Linked DNA regions of Drosophila melanogaster. The protein of the gene in region 1 interacts with the protein of each later gene in a pairwise test. Each region holds a gene or a part of one and is shown on either strand. Other genes may lie near its edges.

What was found. Proteins that work in one complex are often made in the same cells at the same time.
Region 2: the proteins of Mes2 (region 1) and Mat1 interact in a two-hybrid assay, tested with the Drosophila melanogaster proteins (one large-scale study listed by BioGRID).
Region 3: the proteins of Mes2 (region 1) and CG15564 interact in a two-hybrid assay, tested with the Drosophila melanogaster proteins (one large-scale study listed by BioGRID).

The regions. Positions count from the first base shown.
Region 1 is NT_037436.4:22,943,684-22,951,690, forward strand, and holds the start of Mes2 (Mesoderm-expressed 2), read left to right. Parts: upstream 1-1,973; 5' UTR 1,974-2,103; coding exon 2,104-2,257; intron 2,258-2,311; exon of another isoform or gene 2,312-2,501; intron 2,502-2,586; coding exon 2,587-2,887; intron 2,888-6,848; coding exon 6,849-7,707; 3' UTR 7,708-8,007.
Region 2 is NT_033778.4:10,738,072-10,741,345, forward strand, and holds Mat1 (menage a trois 1), read right to left. Parts: upstream 1,759-3,274; 5' UTR 1,650-1,758; coding exon 687-1,649; 3' UTR 546-686; downstream 1-545. Other genes in the region: CG33144 (uncharacterized protein), read right to left, coding at 2,858-3,115, 3,173-3,274.
Region 3 is NT_033777.3:31,231,870-31,237,359, forward strand, and holds CG15564 (uncharacterized protein), read right to left. Parts: upstream 3,494-5,490; 5' UTR 3,413-3,493; coding exon 3,230-3,412; intron 2,352-3,229; coding exon 2,235-2,351; intron 2,170-2,234; coding exon 1,893-2,169; intron 1,836-1,892; coding exon 1,678-1,835; intron 1,609-1,677; coding exon 1,519-1,608; intron 1,462-1,518; coding exon 751-1,461; 3' UTR 546-750; downstream 1-545. Other genes in the region: CG15563 (uncharacterized protein), read right to left, coding at 75-425; qless, read right to left, coding at 5,359-5,490.

The sequences.
Region 1 (8,007 bases):
AATGTTCATTTGTAAATTCTATAAACGGGGAAATACGATAATGAACTGAACTTCGACTCTACAACTGCAGCGAACGAAGCCAGCCACGGGCGGAGTCCACAAAAACACACTGTGGTAGAACACTAACCCACCCTTCTTCAACTATTCATTGCTTAAGCTATGGCCAGGCCCCCTGGAAAAAAATTATAAATCTTTAAGTCAAGCAGCCAGCCATTGATGGAATCAGATCGTCCGATGAGTATATTTAGCCCTCTTTACATTTAACAACAAATTTGTGCTCTTATATCGTAAATTCTACACAAAATTATTTATCTTCCAGTAATTATACTCGTTACTCGTAGTATAAAAGAGTATATTAGATTCGTTAAAAAGTATTTAACAGATAGAAAGTATTCATATTATTGATCAGGATCAATAGCCTGTCCGTCCGTTGAACGTCGAAATCTCAGGAGCTATAAGAACTAGAAGGTCAAGATTATGCATACAGATTCTAGAAACATAGACACAGAGCCAGTTTGCTTCCACGCCCACAAGTCGGGCAAAACTGTCACGCCCACACTTTTGAAAACTGTTTTGATATTCTTTCATAGTTTTATTAGTCTTGCAAATGTGTATGGTTTTGCAAAAAAACTTTTAAAAAAGTTTTGATATTTTTTCATCTTTTTTAATTATAAATTTTTATCGATTATGCCACACCCACTATCGACCGTAAGCCGCAGAAACCTGTCACGGACACACATTTGAAAAATATGTTATATCTTTTTTTCACATTTTTATTAGTATTGTAAAATTCTATCGATTTGCTACAAAAACTTTATGCCACGCCCACTCTAACGACCACAAACCTCCCATTTCTTCTTGTCCAATATCTATCGATGGTCCTAAAAAATTATGAAATTTCGCGTTCTCACTTCCACTAGCTGAGTAAAAGGTATTTGATATTCGGGGAACTCGTGCGTTCTCTCTTCTTATTTATTTAAAACAAGAGAGAACAATAGTCGATTACTTTCGACTATCAGATACCCGTTACTCAGCGAATTTTGAGATTTTTTTTGTCATTTCGATGGAAATTTACATTTATATAACAAAATGAAATGAAAATCAAATCCCTTTTCACAACTGAGAGCAGGATACCTGGCCAATAAACGGTTTCATGGCGTCTGGATAGGCTTGCGAACGCACTAACTTGCATGCGAACGGACAGGCGGACAGATCAAGATTATATGTATGTGTGTACTCCAGTAAACTTATAATTATTATGTTAGTCTAAAACCTTAATGCGTTGGAGATTTACAATAAATGTATGTACATATGTACATAGTCATGAATTCTTTAAATTCCTCGAAATTGTTCCGATACGGGAATCGACCCCCCTATATTAATTGAAGCTGATATGGCCGAAGTGCAGCGTATTCTGCCAAGAAACGCTATCCAAGTATTTTGGTACGTATGTATGTATGTACATACATGTGTATATGGTACATTCATGTAGTACATACATACATATGTATGCAAGTACGTACGAACGCTCGACAATTCCTCTGCTAAAACCAAATGCGAACGCGTCAACGGATTTTTGTATTACACACATTTTCTGTTGTTTCGTTCTGCGCGTTCTCCCTGTTGTGTGTGTGTGTGTGTGCGACGCCGCTTTTCGCTTGCTTTTACTTTCTGTGGCTTGTGATTGCGATTAAACGGGGTTTCCATCCGGCGAGTCGCGCTCTAGGCAGCGCCCGGAGAGCGCTTTAGACCTATATGTCTGGATCAGATAACGGGAACGGTGGCAGCGAGCCACGGCCGGAGAGAGACAGAGAGCGCAAAGAGCTATAGCTGGCTCTCATGTCGATGTCGAATGCGCGTGATTTTTTGGCTCTGAATGCGGGCTTGCTGCCAACTGCGCTGCCGGCTCGGCGTCGACGACGGCTGAGCGCAGCCCGCTTGCCGCGGTGGTTGTTATTTTCTGGTCTTGGTTTTTAGTTGCCGTTTAAACTTGGTCGTGAGAGGGTAGCAGCCCCGTTATCAGCCGACCGCGATCGCGTCCGAACTAAAGAGTACTGTGGAGCCCTGGCCAGTTCAAGCCTTCAAATCCTCCAGAACATTCTGATGGCGCCCGTGAGCGGCTGTTTGCCCACCGCCACCCACTCGCTGCAGGACATGAGTGCTGCCGCCGCGGCAATCGCTCTTGACATGAAGCCCAAGTTGGAGCCCCACCCCCTGGCCGCCGCAACTGCCATGCCCTCTCAGAAGATAAAGAAATGTGCGTACACAGATTTATTCCCCACATTCATGCAAACATACGTACATACATATGTATATATGTACAATTTTTATGCAAAATGCAGTCGAAAGTCGATACGTCGAACAAGCAGTAGAATTTATTTTATCTCTTCATTGCCTATTCAAATAGTTCGGTTCACCCTATGTGCAATGTACATACATATACGTACATACGTATGTATGTACATTTGGGTTAAAAAAGTTCGACTTATAGAAGTTTTGAGGTGCCTGTACCGTGCTTTCTTAAAATATTCGACTGTCGAGACTCGAGGACTTATATTATTTGCATTCATTTTTGTGTCCCAACAGTGGTTCGGCGCAACGCCTCCGACAAGCTGAAGCTCATCCAAATGGTGCACGACAATCCAATTCTCTGGGACTCCCGTCTCCCGAATTTCAAGGGCGCCGAAGAAGAAAAGAACCGAGCCTGGGAGCACATAGGCCGCGAGTTCAACGCTCCCGGGCGTCGCGTTGCACGGGCCTTCAAGTCCTTGAGGGAATCCTACCGCCGTGAACTCGCCCACGTCAAGCTAATGGGCAATGGCTTCAAGCCCAAGTGGAGTCTCTATGAGGCCATGGATTTCCTGCGCGATGTCATCAGAGAACGAAAGTAAGTATAAGGAATAGTATTTTAGTGAACTGGTGACCAGGTGATTCTCTTAAATTTAAAACCGTCAAGGAAGTTTCATGCCAATATCGACTCCTGGGGTTGACCAGTAATATAGAGCCCGTTATGAATTTTGCATTCTCTGCTTGACCCATTATTGCCACACCACAAATCATGTCACTAAAAATGATCTTCATCCAAATGGCTTTACAAAAGCAAAAGCAATAATAGAACACGAGAGAAGAGCGCTTAAATTTAAAATTTGACAGAAATACGAGTCATTCTTATAATCGAATAGTAAAGTACATGAAATTCTATATCAACGAATAATTATTACAGAACGTATTGCACTTATTTCCAAGTTTTCTTTTAATCTTTCTAGGCAATATTTACCTTTCCCAAAATGATCTTAATTAACGTACTTATTCTTATCCTCTGCTTTTTGGAGATCGATACCAAAACAAATCTAAAAGTGGAACCGTTATTTCTCAAAAGTAATGCTCCCTTACGACTACAGTTCTTCAATAATATCGTCTTACACTCTGAACATTATTTGTGTCAGGAGTACATTTGGCTACTTATATTACAATGAGTTTGATAAGCCGTCACTAACCATACAACCATCGAACAACGGTCAAAGTTTGGCTTGAGTCGTGAATAACAGTTTTCGGTTTAGATTGGTCTTCTGTTTTGGTCATACACGGATTGATTCATGCGAAACAAATACATGCATCAGTTTGAAGACTAGCTAACTTATACACAATAATAATGTGACTCACCTTTCCAACGATCATTTACATTGGTCGAAGGTATTGTATGCTTTCCAGTCCTGTGTCTGAAAGAGGTTTTTCCGAATCTGCCCCCCTAAAAATATGTGTGCTTGTCAGTAGTCAGTCAAGCGAACAATGTTGTTTAGCTTGGCTCAATCAAAAATAATTATTGCAGGAAATTCCAAGAATCTTATCATTTTATGCGAGTAGCCACTTCAGCTTATGTACACTGAGAAGTGTATGAGTTTGTGAGTCATGGCTTAGATCTAATGTTGGACAAAATATGTCAATAAATTTATTTCAAAAATCATAGAATCACGGACTTCGTAAAGATCTGACAATTTAAATAAATTGAGAATTCGGAAATATGTTCAGATCGAATAGACAATACATACAATTGTCACATAAAAAACATGTGATAAGTTTAGCATAAAGTTATTCGAACCGTAACTACGAAATTCCACTTCCATTCGAGCCTTCGTACAAAACTCATCCCTTAGCCCAGTCGATTTGCATAAACGCCCAACAATTCGAGCAAATCTCAGCACCGTGTCTGAGAAAACATCTGCCCAGCGAAAAAGAATAGCAAAAACAAGGCAAGGGGGCATATGGACACTAAGGAGCGGTAATGTGGAAAAAACCAATCCGAACAAAGGAATGACCGGGCCAGAGACCCGCAAATGGTCTCAGTCGAGAGTCTGCCCCGTCCAATGTTCTGGCTCATATGGAGCCGTGCTCGAGCTGCGGGTGTGTGTGTGTGTGTGAGTGTGTGTACTTTATGTACATATTTATATGAAATAAGGCCATTTCCTTTCAATTGACTGTACCCACATGGGCAACAAGCAGTCGACGGCCCCGACACATGCCCGCGCACACTCACCCATGGTGTGTGTATATATTTAAATTTTTATTATTGTGAGCTGATAACAGACAGCTCAACGGGCCCGGCCAGTCGGGCAGCGCTTGAGCCGGAGCTATAGCCGCAGCTATAGCCACAGCCATAGCCATAACACAGATCTCGCCAAGCGGCGAATATTATACAACGTCGCAGCATCGTCGCTGCTTGAACCAAAAACGAAATTGAGGGAAGCTGCAAACGCAAGACCAAGTCCATCGAATAGTGCTTGCGAGAGGGGTGGGGACTATGGGAAGGCGCCGAGAGAGCGATAAATTAATGAGAGCACTACGAAAATGACAATCAGCACCGAAGAATACGGATTGCGAGTGGACCAAGTTGGGAAAGACTGGTAGCTCGTGAGCGAGAAAGGGGCTGGTAAGGGAAAATGAGCGAGGTTCTGCCTGTGTGTGTATGACATGAGCACCGAACACTCGTAAAGATCGCTGTATGGGTGAGCTGAGTAATTGAACGAATAGCTTGGTCTGACTTCGGCCAGGGTTAAAAATATGCCCACGACCATTAGCCAGCCGCATCGGCCGCGTCCCGGCCAAGGGGTTGCTGAGACCCAGAGTCGGGGTCTGGACGCCTCTTTCAGGCTGCCCTGGCCCACATGCTTTCGTCGTTCAGTCCTCTCTTAATGGGGGGCTCTCGTACCCTCACCCTCACACACACGAGGCCACTTGGGTGTGAAAGTTCTGCTGGGCTCTGTCTGTGTCACGCTTATGATTTAATAAGCAAATGTGCTGCGAAATTGCTGAAATTGTTTGGCTGTCCGTCATCCCCACAATCCGAATCTCGCCCCACGCCCTGAAATCACTGTCCGCCGTATTTCGCATTGAAATGCTTTAGCCAATGCGTCACGGAAGAAGAAAAGTGGGCGGTAGTCCGTGCTTGCCTTTTGATTCTCGTACCTTTAAATGCCTTTGCATGGAGCTAGTTCTTGCCTAATAAATCATAATAAAAAGTTCTAGGTCTGCAAAAATCTAAAATCTCATTCGGACCATTGGAATATTTAATTATGTTATTATTATATTAATATTCATAGATTTGTTTCCAAGTGCAGGTGATAGAGATTTTAGAAAACGAATTCAAACCACAAAAACCCATAAACAATCTCGGAAAACGGCTTGGGACCTAAGCAAGAGCGGAAGCAAATAATGATAAGCTGAGCGATTCAAACCCCGAAAAGAAACCAAGTCAAAATAATGAAGTAAATAAAGCCATTCCCGATTGTGGAACATGTGAAAATGTATTTCGACTCGATTAGTCCTGCGAGTTTTTTGGTCTTGGCTGGCGAGCGAGTATCAGTTTTCAAATTTTACAATTGTCAACTACCTGCAGCCGATTGCGGTGATAAGGCTGTCTTCTAGGTCGCCCATGCCCGTGCCTACCACTAGGCCAGGTCTTTGCATTCGGCAAATAACTATAGGTATGGGGGAGGCCCAAAATAGCCACGTTCAGATGTTCTTTGAGCACCCGGCCCAGGCAGCTGCATTGCCTGTGAAAATGCTCTTGAAACTTGAGACGCGTAAGGAGAGAGACAGGAAGCGATACTACACTGAAAGACATTTATGTTTATGCATTTCTTGTGTTATTGCCTTAAACAGACAAGATTTCAAAATGGGGATATGAATCGTTGAGTCACAGGAAACATATGAACTCTATAAGGCTAATACAATTATATTTTTGTGTGTTTTCGAACTCACAATTAATACGAACATGCTTTCCTTATCAGGGTCACTATCCGATCGCAATGTCCGTCGGCATAAAACAAAGCTAATTAGTTGATGACAACCTAGCAAAGTTTTACGAACTTATTGATTTGTCTTTCAGACTATTCTATTTCTAATTTTTTGCCCAACGTTTTGCAAATGATTATTGCCAGCATTATTTAATATTTTTTTATTTATTGTAATTAATATAATTTAAGATAAGAGAAAGAAAATCTGTTATACTATAAATGATGTGTGAGAGACAAAGAAAAGTATTCTTTCTACTTTTAATTTAAGAACGTAGGCGGTTCTTAAAGTGTATTAAAAACAATGTACATAACCACTAGTCACGGTTATATGTTATTGTATTTAATAAATTTATTAATCTTTTTGTATGCCCTTTTAAACAACCTCCTTCATCAAATTTTTATTAGTATTCAACTTAACATCAATACAAAATAAAAAAATACCGCAGACTTGCTGCGAATATGAATATTGAATATGACGCAAAAGTAAAACCCAACCTTAAACCCGTTAAAATGTGAAATAATTTAGTCTTCTAACATATGTTCTTTCTATTATAGGGGCGCTTCGCATGCAACCGATCTAAGCCTGACAACCTATGGCCATATTAACAATAACAACAACAACAACAACAACAGTAACAGCTTGGCTGCAGGGGGAAAGGCAATGACCCTGAAGCTGTCCAATTCCTTTAACGAGTCCGCCTCAGTGTTAAATCTCTCAAAGTGCTCCTCGCTCAATGTAAGCGACGATCACTACTATTGCGACTACTATGTGAAGCCGGAGCTGGATCTCTCGGTGGGCGGTGGGGCCGGAAGTAGCACAAGTGGGAGTAGCTCCGGCGGCGGGCCACTTCCTCTGCCCGCTCACCAGGCTCACAACGACAGTCGGGTGAGCTCAACGAGAAACGAGCAAAGGGCACAGCATCACAGCTATGAAGACATGGACGACAGCTCGATACGCAGCGGGGACGAAGATATCGCCCACGCATCCGACGTAGTGGAGGAGTTGGATGCCATCGATGCAGATTTCCCTTATCCTCTGATTCTGGATTCCAACTCACGCGGTAGCCCCAATGTTGGTGTGGACGATGTGGTCATGTCCCGCAAGCTTCGCCGTAACGTCGATCAAGATGTTTTGGAGGAAGGAAACGGTCACGGCGATGCGGTTATCGATGGTGACGACTACGAAGAACAAATGCTGCAACAGCACCGCCATCTCCGGCAGCAACAGGGCGTCGCAAGCGGAGGGTTGGATCTGCCGCCCCCACAAACTGTACGTGAGGTTTTGAACTCCAAGTTCTGCGGCTTTATTTCAGCCAAGCTAAACAGCATGGAGGACTCGGACGCGGACAATTTAATGAATCGCATTCTTCTCTTACTGGTTCAAGTGCAGCAGTGCGAAGGGTCCACGAAATAGACAGCGGAGGAGAAGAGCGCTAAGTGTACGGGTGTAATTATAGTAGCCAAAAAAAAGTACATAATGGAATGATGTTGCTGCTCAGAGCACTTATAACTGAATTTTCTTGCCATTATATATTACTTTCCTAAAGAAATACAAATTTACTTGCCAATGCCAAATCTGTGCCATACCAAAAGGATCAATCAAATATGAATGATTTTCTAAAACATTCTCTAATTTTTTCGCTCCTATTAACAAAAATGAACCAAACTCAACGAAAAGACAACACAAAGACGTAAACCAAGAAATAGCAAAATA
Region 2 (3,274 bases), on another chromosome or scaffold:
CATTGCCCATGCATAGGTCGTTAAGTTAACCAGTTCATGTACTTGGCTAGGATAGTCCATCTGTGGCCAAAAATCTCGCAAGTGGCCCGATCGCAGAACACATTTACCTCTAACTGTGCAAGTAGATCTTAGGATGTGACGAGCTACTCGTCCGACTATCACACGATTTAACTATAATCCGTATAATGTATAAAGAGCAAGTTAAATCCAATGTATGTTTATCCAGCATATGTCTATAAATGCCTATAAATATTTACTGTTAAAAGTATTTAAAATAAAAAGAAGTCTGTAGTCGAACGAACCAACTGTTTTTCTGTTTGGCTCATTTTGATCTCTTGTATTTGTATTTAGAATACAAATTCAGGAAACTTTCTTATTTGAATAATTATCAAAATGAATAAGCTAAGTTTCTTTGCAAATGAAAGTTATTCTAATATAGACATGTTATTTTTTTTACTTCTTGTTTAAGGATTAATTTTCCTGCGCATCTATTGACCTACTATGTAGCCAACAACAATATATTTTTGAATAAATAATATCTATAACGTAGGATATAGCATTTATTTATTTAACATATATTAAGTTACGAGTTAACTGAATGGATTCGTATAGGACACATTTGTTCAACAAAATTAAGCGTTCAGTGCTCTGGTTGTGCGACCATTAAAGGATATTTTTTTAGAGAGCTAGGTGCCAGATACCACACCCGTTGTAGCCGTATAGTAGAGTCCCTGCAGCGCCTCCTGAAGCGCCCGTTCACAAGCCAGAGCGGATGTGAATCCGCCGGCGTTCTCCTGCGGTGTTTCAGCTCGTATGTGGGCAATATAGCCCCTGGACACGATCTCATTTGTGGGCGGCATGGCAGGTCCCTCACTGAAAGGAACAAGTGGCTCGTATACGAAAAGTGGACCCTCCTCCGATTTGGGAACGGGCAGCAGACTGGGATCAGCTGTCTGTCCGAACTTTATGCCCGTAGAGAACTCGTTGGCGGGCTTCGGCGGTGGAAGCTGTTTCTCCTCCTCGCGCTGCTTTTCCGCTTTTTCGGCGAACTCGGTGACAATTTGGGCGGCATCCTTGCCGCTGTACATCAGCTCCTCGATCAGCGCCTGCTTGTCGCGGGCCTTCTTCTTCTTGTGCTCGTTCTCCAGTTCCTCCAGCTCCTTCCTACGCGCCTCCTCCTGAACTTTCTCCAGCTCCAGCATCTCCTCCAACGCGTACTCATCGCGTCCCACGCGGGTTTTATTCCGCTGAATGACCTCACGGTTATCACGCTTGTAGGCCTCAATACGCTTGTTTGTCTCGATGATGTCGATGTTGTTGCACAGATTGTACACAATGTCCTCGATCTCCTCCAGATAGTCATTGTACTCCGCCAGGGAGGCAAAGTCCTCCTCACGTTTATTGTAGTCGCGCAGAATTCGCCTACGAATATCCACCTCCTTCTCCACCATTGGGTCCTCAAAAAGCTGCACGCGGAAGTTGTTGCGCCGCAATGGGACCATGCACTCTGGACAGGCGCCGGATCCTTTGAGGAACAGCAAGTCCACGCAAGATTCGCATAATGTGTGTCCGCAAACGTTGACCATCAGCTTGAGCGATGGATTCCGGTATTTGGTGGTCTTGCACCGCGGGCACGCCTGGTCGTCCATCGCGTAGCCGGTTTACCTGTCCTCCTCTCTGCTGCTTAAATCCGTAAATAAAAACTCTTTGCCGGCCAATGTTTTCGATAAATTATTATTTGATGCATTCCCTAATGTGACCATGGTTGGCCCGTAATGTCATGTTTGTGATTTCGCTTAGTAACTTTAGTTCACATCTAGCACATACACGAACCACAAACATAGCGTTGCCATACTATATGCATGTTTTACAATAGCCGTTACAAGCTTGAAAATTTAAAGCTTGAAATGAAGCCCATGAATATGAAATGAGAATTTTAAGCTATTAAATAACCCAGTACTTTAATAAAAGCCAATTCCATAGTTTTCTTTTAACATTTTTATTTCAAACAGCATACGCGGTAGTTGTTCACATTAAGAGTAAAGTTTAAATATGTTTTCTTTAAAGATACACGCACTTTTATGTCATACGTATTTTGATATATGTGTTCTGAGTGTATATGCATTAAATAATTCAATAATTTACATTAACCAAATCATCCCCAGCTAGGTGCACCTGCCAGCTTTTAGGCAAGCGACCCGAGAGCAGCGATTTGATATACATTTGTTTTAGCTGCGTAGTAAAATTTACAATTAAATACATTCAATAAACAGTAGTAGTGACATCATATACACCTCCTTTATATGCAGTATATATATTTTTTTGCGTAGATAAAAGCATTGCCAAGCAGTTGATCAAAGTGACCCATCAATTTTGGGTGTTAGTTGCATGCGTAATACTTGAGAGAAGGATTGAGTGGGTGAGTCGGGCGATTTTGTTTGGGTGGGTGCGTTATAAAAGCACTGTTGCAATACGAGGCGTACTCCTAATATATTTAGACTAACTTATGCGCTAGGAAGAGAACCTACTCGATTTATACAGATTGATTTAGTCGAATATATATTCAAAGGTGTGGTTAGGGGGAGGAAAGAATATATGTAGAGACAGAACCTAAAAAGAATCGAAGGCGTCTTGTCTTTGTATAGGTTCTCAACAAATTTGTCGATTCAATTAGAAATCGAATCACTGTAAATATCACAATTTAGTTAACACATATACAATTATAATTGTAATAACTAAAATAAATGTACGTAAGCTGTCGTCATTAACAATAGAAACTACCAGTAATTACAGCAGCTGCATTTACAGGCTGCAGCCTATGTCGCGTATGGATGGGGATGCGTGGAGATCCAGCCACCTAGCCCTGCAGCGCAGTGACCTCCTCCTCCAGTTCGGCGTCCACCTCGTCGATCTTGGACCCGGTGCACCCTCTGCACTTGCAGCAGATGATGCAGGGAGCAGCCAAGAGCAGCAGCGGCGAGGCCACCAGCAGCAGAATGCCAAAGCCGGCGAAGATCCCAATCACTTGGGCACGATGCCAGACCACCGAGGCCCGCGAGTGCCCCAGCTTGTTCTTGCACGGTCCCTTGTCGTAGTGGCGCAGCAGGAAGTCATCCTGCAGGAATACAAATTAGATGAAATATCCTAGACTTGCCAGATTCTAGGAACTTACATCCAAACTGGCCAGGCAGTACCAGCAGAAGACGTGCTTGCAGCGCTTGCACATCATCTGGGCGCAGCCCTCGTCCTTTTCGATGGGCACCGCGCACATGGG
Region 3 (5,490 bases), on another chromosome or scaffold:
ATGACTTAAGCGCACAAACTACGAGCCAGTCAGAAGGTGAGGGAATATCCTTGAATATCCAAGAATCCTTGGCCTTACGCCGATTCGCTGGCGCCATAGAGCAGATTGTCCAGTTTCAGTTTGTTGATCTTGTCGCCACGGGCTCCATGTCCTGGTCTGCCCCAGAACGTTTCGAATGTGTCGAAATGTTGGTTGCACAGATCCCTGTCCAGTTGCTTGGAAACGGAGACGGATCGACGGTTCTGCGAGATCTGGACATTCAGGTCGTGCAGATAGCGCATGTCGGCGGCCGTTTGAATCCTGGTTGCCGGTCGATTGGTGGGCAGCAATATTATAGTTTCATTTATATCAGTTCGATTTTTCAGATTTCGAATTTTCGATTTTCGGTTTTCAGTTCGATTTGTTTTGCACGGGGATACATACATAGAAGATTGGTATTATGATTTTTGACTTTTGCTGTTGCGGTTTGTTTGATTTTGGTGAGATTGGTATTTGGTTTGCTCGTTTGGTTGCTATACTTTCACTTGTATTACAATGGATATTTTCTTGCTGGATGAGCCGAGGAGAAGTGGGGGATTAGAGAAACCATTAACAGAACAAGATCACAAGGCAAAGGCATAGAGGGGCAAGCGGACTTTCGTTTCAATGTCTGGCGCAGAGCAAGCAAATGAGAAACGGTGGGAGCAGGGAGGTGGTGGAATGGTAGTACTATGAAAGCAGGAGGGGATCGGGATTGATAGAACGTGGGTTTCAAGCCTGGCGAATGTGCAGGGTCAGCCGCTTGAGGCAGCAGCCCGTGGCCAAGGCCGTGGGGCAATCGCAACTGCAACACTGCAGCTTGCAGTTCAGATTCTTGGGCAGCCGCTTCATGTGGCTAATGTTCTTGATGATGCTGTTGATGCACTTGATCTTGGTGGTGGTCAGCTGACAGTTCTTTGGTGGATGCTTGTGCTTGGATGCGTACCTATCGTGCGACGGTGTCCTCTTGGTCACGTCCGTGCTGGAGAGACTGATGGGTCGGTGCATGCCACGCCTTCTGGCGAGCAGGGGAACCAGCTCCACCCCACCACCTTCGCCATAGGCTCCTCCCTTTCCTCCCGCTGTGCTGGGATCCGGAGTGGCGGTACTGGTGCTCCCGGGACAGGGACCTCTCGACGCTATGCGGGGGCACAACTTGATGGGCTTGCTACCGCAGTCCTGCGGCTTCAAGTGGTGCAGCATTTTTCCGGGCGGCGGACCTGGCGGACCCGGGCACTTTTTGCCTGGCGGAATGGGAAGTGAGAGTGGCGACGGCTTGGGCGGACTCTTTTGCATGGCGGGACATTTGCAAGTGCACAACTCACAGCAGCGCTGCGGCTTTGGTGGCTTGCCTGGTCGCGATTTGCGAAAGGTGTTCTTCTCCGCGGGAGTCACCGGGTTATCTTGGTCCAACTCCTTCAGCATCTCCTTGTTCGTCCAACCCTGAAATTAGATTATATTTAAACAGTGTACATATGAGCACAAGCGACTGATACCCACCAGTGACTTCATGAACGTGTTGCCCACTTCCTTGGGACTCCGCCATGGCTTGCCGCCCGGACCCGCCTTGCCCCACGGCTCCTTGCAGGACTAGAAGGAGGACAGATAAAGAGGGATTAGTTAAACTTGGTTTCAGGGGGCGTAATAAGTGCCGCTCACCGGCTTTTCGAGTTTGGCTTGCAAGCGCTTCTTCTGAGTGGCCAGCTTTTCCTGCAAAGGACATCGCTGCTCACTCTCGCTGACTACGATCTTCTCCAGAAGCGGCTTCCCCTTGCACGGAGGAGAGGGCTTGTACCGCAATTCTATGTCCACATGGCCTTTATTGCGAAACGACATTGAAGGATGTTCTTTCAGCTCGATGTGAAGGCTCTCACCGTTGGCGTTTTTGGCCACATTGACACCAACTGCCGCTCCGGGCTTGTGCGGAATCTCCCGCTCGCAAATCGTTACGGTGCTGCTCCTGGGACCACTTTCCTGCAGGTGATGGACCGAGTGGGCGTGGCCCAGTCGGCCACCCGGCGGCGGAGCAGGCGGGGCGTGGTGGTGGTGGTGATGGTAGGCGGCCAGCGGGTTGTTGTGGCACTTCTTCTGCATCGAGAAGAAGTCGTTGTAGCGACACGGCTGCAGTAGATTCATTCGGTGGGCATTGGTCTGCGGCACATTCAAATTATTGGAGTAGAATATATGTTATTCGAGAAGGATTCAAGAGTCCTTACCACTGTGGGCGTCGAGTGAAGGCCAGCGGCTGTGATGTCCTTGCGTCGCACCTCTACGTTGGGTGCCCCACCACCAGGTCGACCCCAGGGACAATGTTGGTGAAACAGGTCGTAGTACTGGATAAAAGAACATTGTTGATACGAATTGATCTTCAACTTATTTCAGTAAAGATTGTGATGCTTGGAAAAATCGTTTAGGCAAACTAACGTATCCTCCGCTGAAATCATGAATCGCATTACCCGCAATAAAGTCACAACATAAATACATTAAATTACTTCCGCAGGACGATTACAACACCGAGTTATGCCTTATCGATTGGGTGGCAGCCTATTTGTGGCTCCAGACTGCCTCAACCCACCTCGTCGTGTCACTCCGCGAAGTGTGGCGATGTTTGTTTACGGAAATTGGCAAATTCAGGAGCTCCCGCTGCCCTGGCCCACAAAGTTTGTTAGTAGGTTGTTGTTATAGTTGCAGCGAACGGCGATTTGCATTTCACTGATTTTTTTCACCCACATTTCGGTTGGCGCTTTCACACAGCTGCAGGTTGTGATAGGTAGTGGAGCAAGGAGCCAGGACTCCAGTCACGCAAGGACTCGCAGGAGTTGGGCTTTTAGCCGAAGAGAGGGGATTTGATTACCGAAGTCGAAATTGTCAAAGGGTTTGTTGAACCAGATCCGCGGGGGCGGATGCCTTACATGTTGCTTGAGGCAGGTCTTTGAACTTACCAAAAGTTGCAACTATTGCGTGGCGGATGGTTCGAGATGTTTTTCGATTGTCATTTCGTTCGTTTCTGGTTTTGCCTTAGACTTAGACAAAGAACTTGGAACTTGGTGAATTGATTATGGCCTTTAAAGTTTTAAAACTAATATATTTAGGGTTCAGAGTTCCAAGCTTAAGGTGTTTCAGGTAACTACTAACAACTTTGCTTGGGGCCCTAAAATATAACTCATACGCACGGTCTGGAAATATCACACACATACGCACTGTTACCCACCTCCTGCTTATCCTTCTCCTTGCGAGCACACTCCTCCGCCTTCCGGCGCCGCCACATGCGAAGACTCTCCTCTGCATTCTTGCGCTCCACAAGACGCTTCTTCTCATCGCACCACATCAGCGGATGCTGGATGTGGTCGTGGCAGAAGTTGCCCCCCATGCCCATTTCATCGCTAGTCGTCATGGCTCTCTGAATGCTCTGGAGATCCTATCTGGATGTTTGGGAAACTGGTAGAACGAGAACAGAAGTAGCGCTGCGTTCAGCAAACGCGGCGTTACTGAATCGGTCTCGTGTCCCATCCAAGCCGTTTAACCGCCGAATTGGCTGCCAGGATCCGTGCCAGGCACTAAAGGGCCGTGGATGATGGGTCGGTTGTCTAGGCAGCACGCCCGACTATTTATAACCTAGGTTAAGGCACACTTCGGTCGTCTGTCCTTGAAGGCGAGTCGAAGGATATCGAAACCTCAGCTAATTTGGTCTGGCTATTTAAATATTTCGCCAGTTAGACACGATGTTTGCCTGCTCCACTTTGCTAGACTGCCTGGACATAAAATATATTGACTTTATGTTGCCTGGAAATAATGCCACGGCTGCGTTGGCTTAACCTGAATCGTGATGCTCTGTTTTAATGAAACGCAAAAGTAAGCCTACTGCAGTATAGCGTGCCACTTAATACGAAACTTGTTGATGTTTTAAAATGAAAAGCTCTTGCAAGCCTAAGCAGCAAGCATTACTCATACGCCCCGTGTGGCAGTTACAATTTCAGCCAGCAACTCACACCGCCAAATTTATTTGTTTGCCCCAATTTCGGTTTCAGCCATGCCCGTTGCAACATAAGGCATTTTGGCCATGTCCAAAACTATTTCACTGGGTCAACCTGGTTGGTGGTTAATATGTTGCATAGCTACAAGCGGCGAAATCAGCTCCAATTTGCTTGTTTTACAAAATCGAATTTTTATTCATCTCATTAGGTATACAAATATCGTAATTACATGTATCAATATCAACATCTGTATCATTATTTTGTCGTTCGCACTCTAAAATATGTGGGTATATCGTCGTCAGCACCCAATTGTATTGATTAACTAGCCAGCAAATTTCTGCATTATATCTTTCATTTGCCTTTCTTTCAGTGTAGAGCAGGCTGTAAAGGAGCCCAATGAATTTGCATCAAAACTAAACGGACAAAAAAACGAATTTCGCTGACTAACTTAACTGAGGTTGTGTTTATAAATTAAAATAAAAACTTACATCTAAAAAGATTTGTAGAACATTTCAACATTTGGGGTTTGCGGTTCGAATTCGTTTCAAATGTCTTTTAAATTACTATTGCATTAGAGGCGGAGAAGAAAGATTTAAAATTAAGACTGGGCAGCATTGTTTCACATACAATCCTCGTTACATTTCTTATAGAACATATTATAATATGCATTTCATGCGCGAATGGTTCAAAATATTTTATTTAATCCAGCTAAACTACGGGCTTTCCACTTTAAGTTACAAGTTTGTGCGGTCGGAAGGGATTTTAAACAGAGTGCAGGCAATGACCATTGAACCATTTAGGCATGAAATGCCCTAAATCAAGTATTAATATAAAATAAACCAATTATGCTCCTCGTGCTTCGTATTAAAAATATCGCTCTACACACTGGCTTTCTTTGTTGCATTGACTAATAAACATTTTCATTTTAAAGTAGATTCCACATTTGGTGCTCGCCTGGCAACCCATTTCCATTCATTTATTTGATGAAATGTTTGTACAATTTTCTCGTTTCCCCTATTGTTGTTGGCTTTTGGCTCATGTTTCGCTCTCTATACATATAAATAAATTTGTCGAAAAACATTGCATACAAAATTTGTCAAAAATTCATTAAACATCTTGTAATTATGTTATGTACAGCGATCGTTGCCATTTAGTGTGTGTTGATTAGGTTTTTTTATGCAATTATTTACAGTGTCAACAACAAATGCCTAAAAACTAAATAATAATTCTTGTTTACAAATTGGCCCGCCGGCTGAACAGGACTTAATCCAAACATCAATGGGCCTACATAACAATATTATTATTAATATTATTATTATTGCATTACGTGTATGGTTTATGTTAGGGTGTTCGGGTGCTCGGTACTCTACTTCATGCGGTTGATGACTAAGTCGGCGACCACCTGGAGACCCTTCTGGTAGGGCGACTCCGTGAGCTCCTGGGCCAGCCGTATCGCCTCGTTGCAGTGCTTCTTGGCCAGAAACCGGGTCTGCTCCAG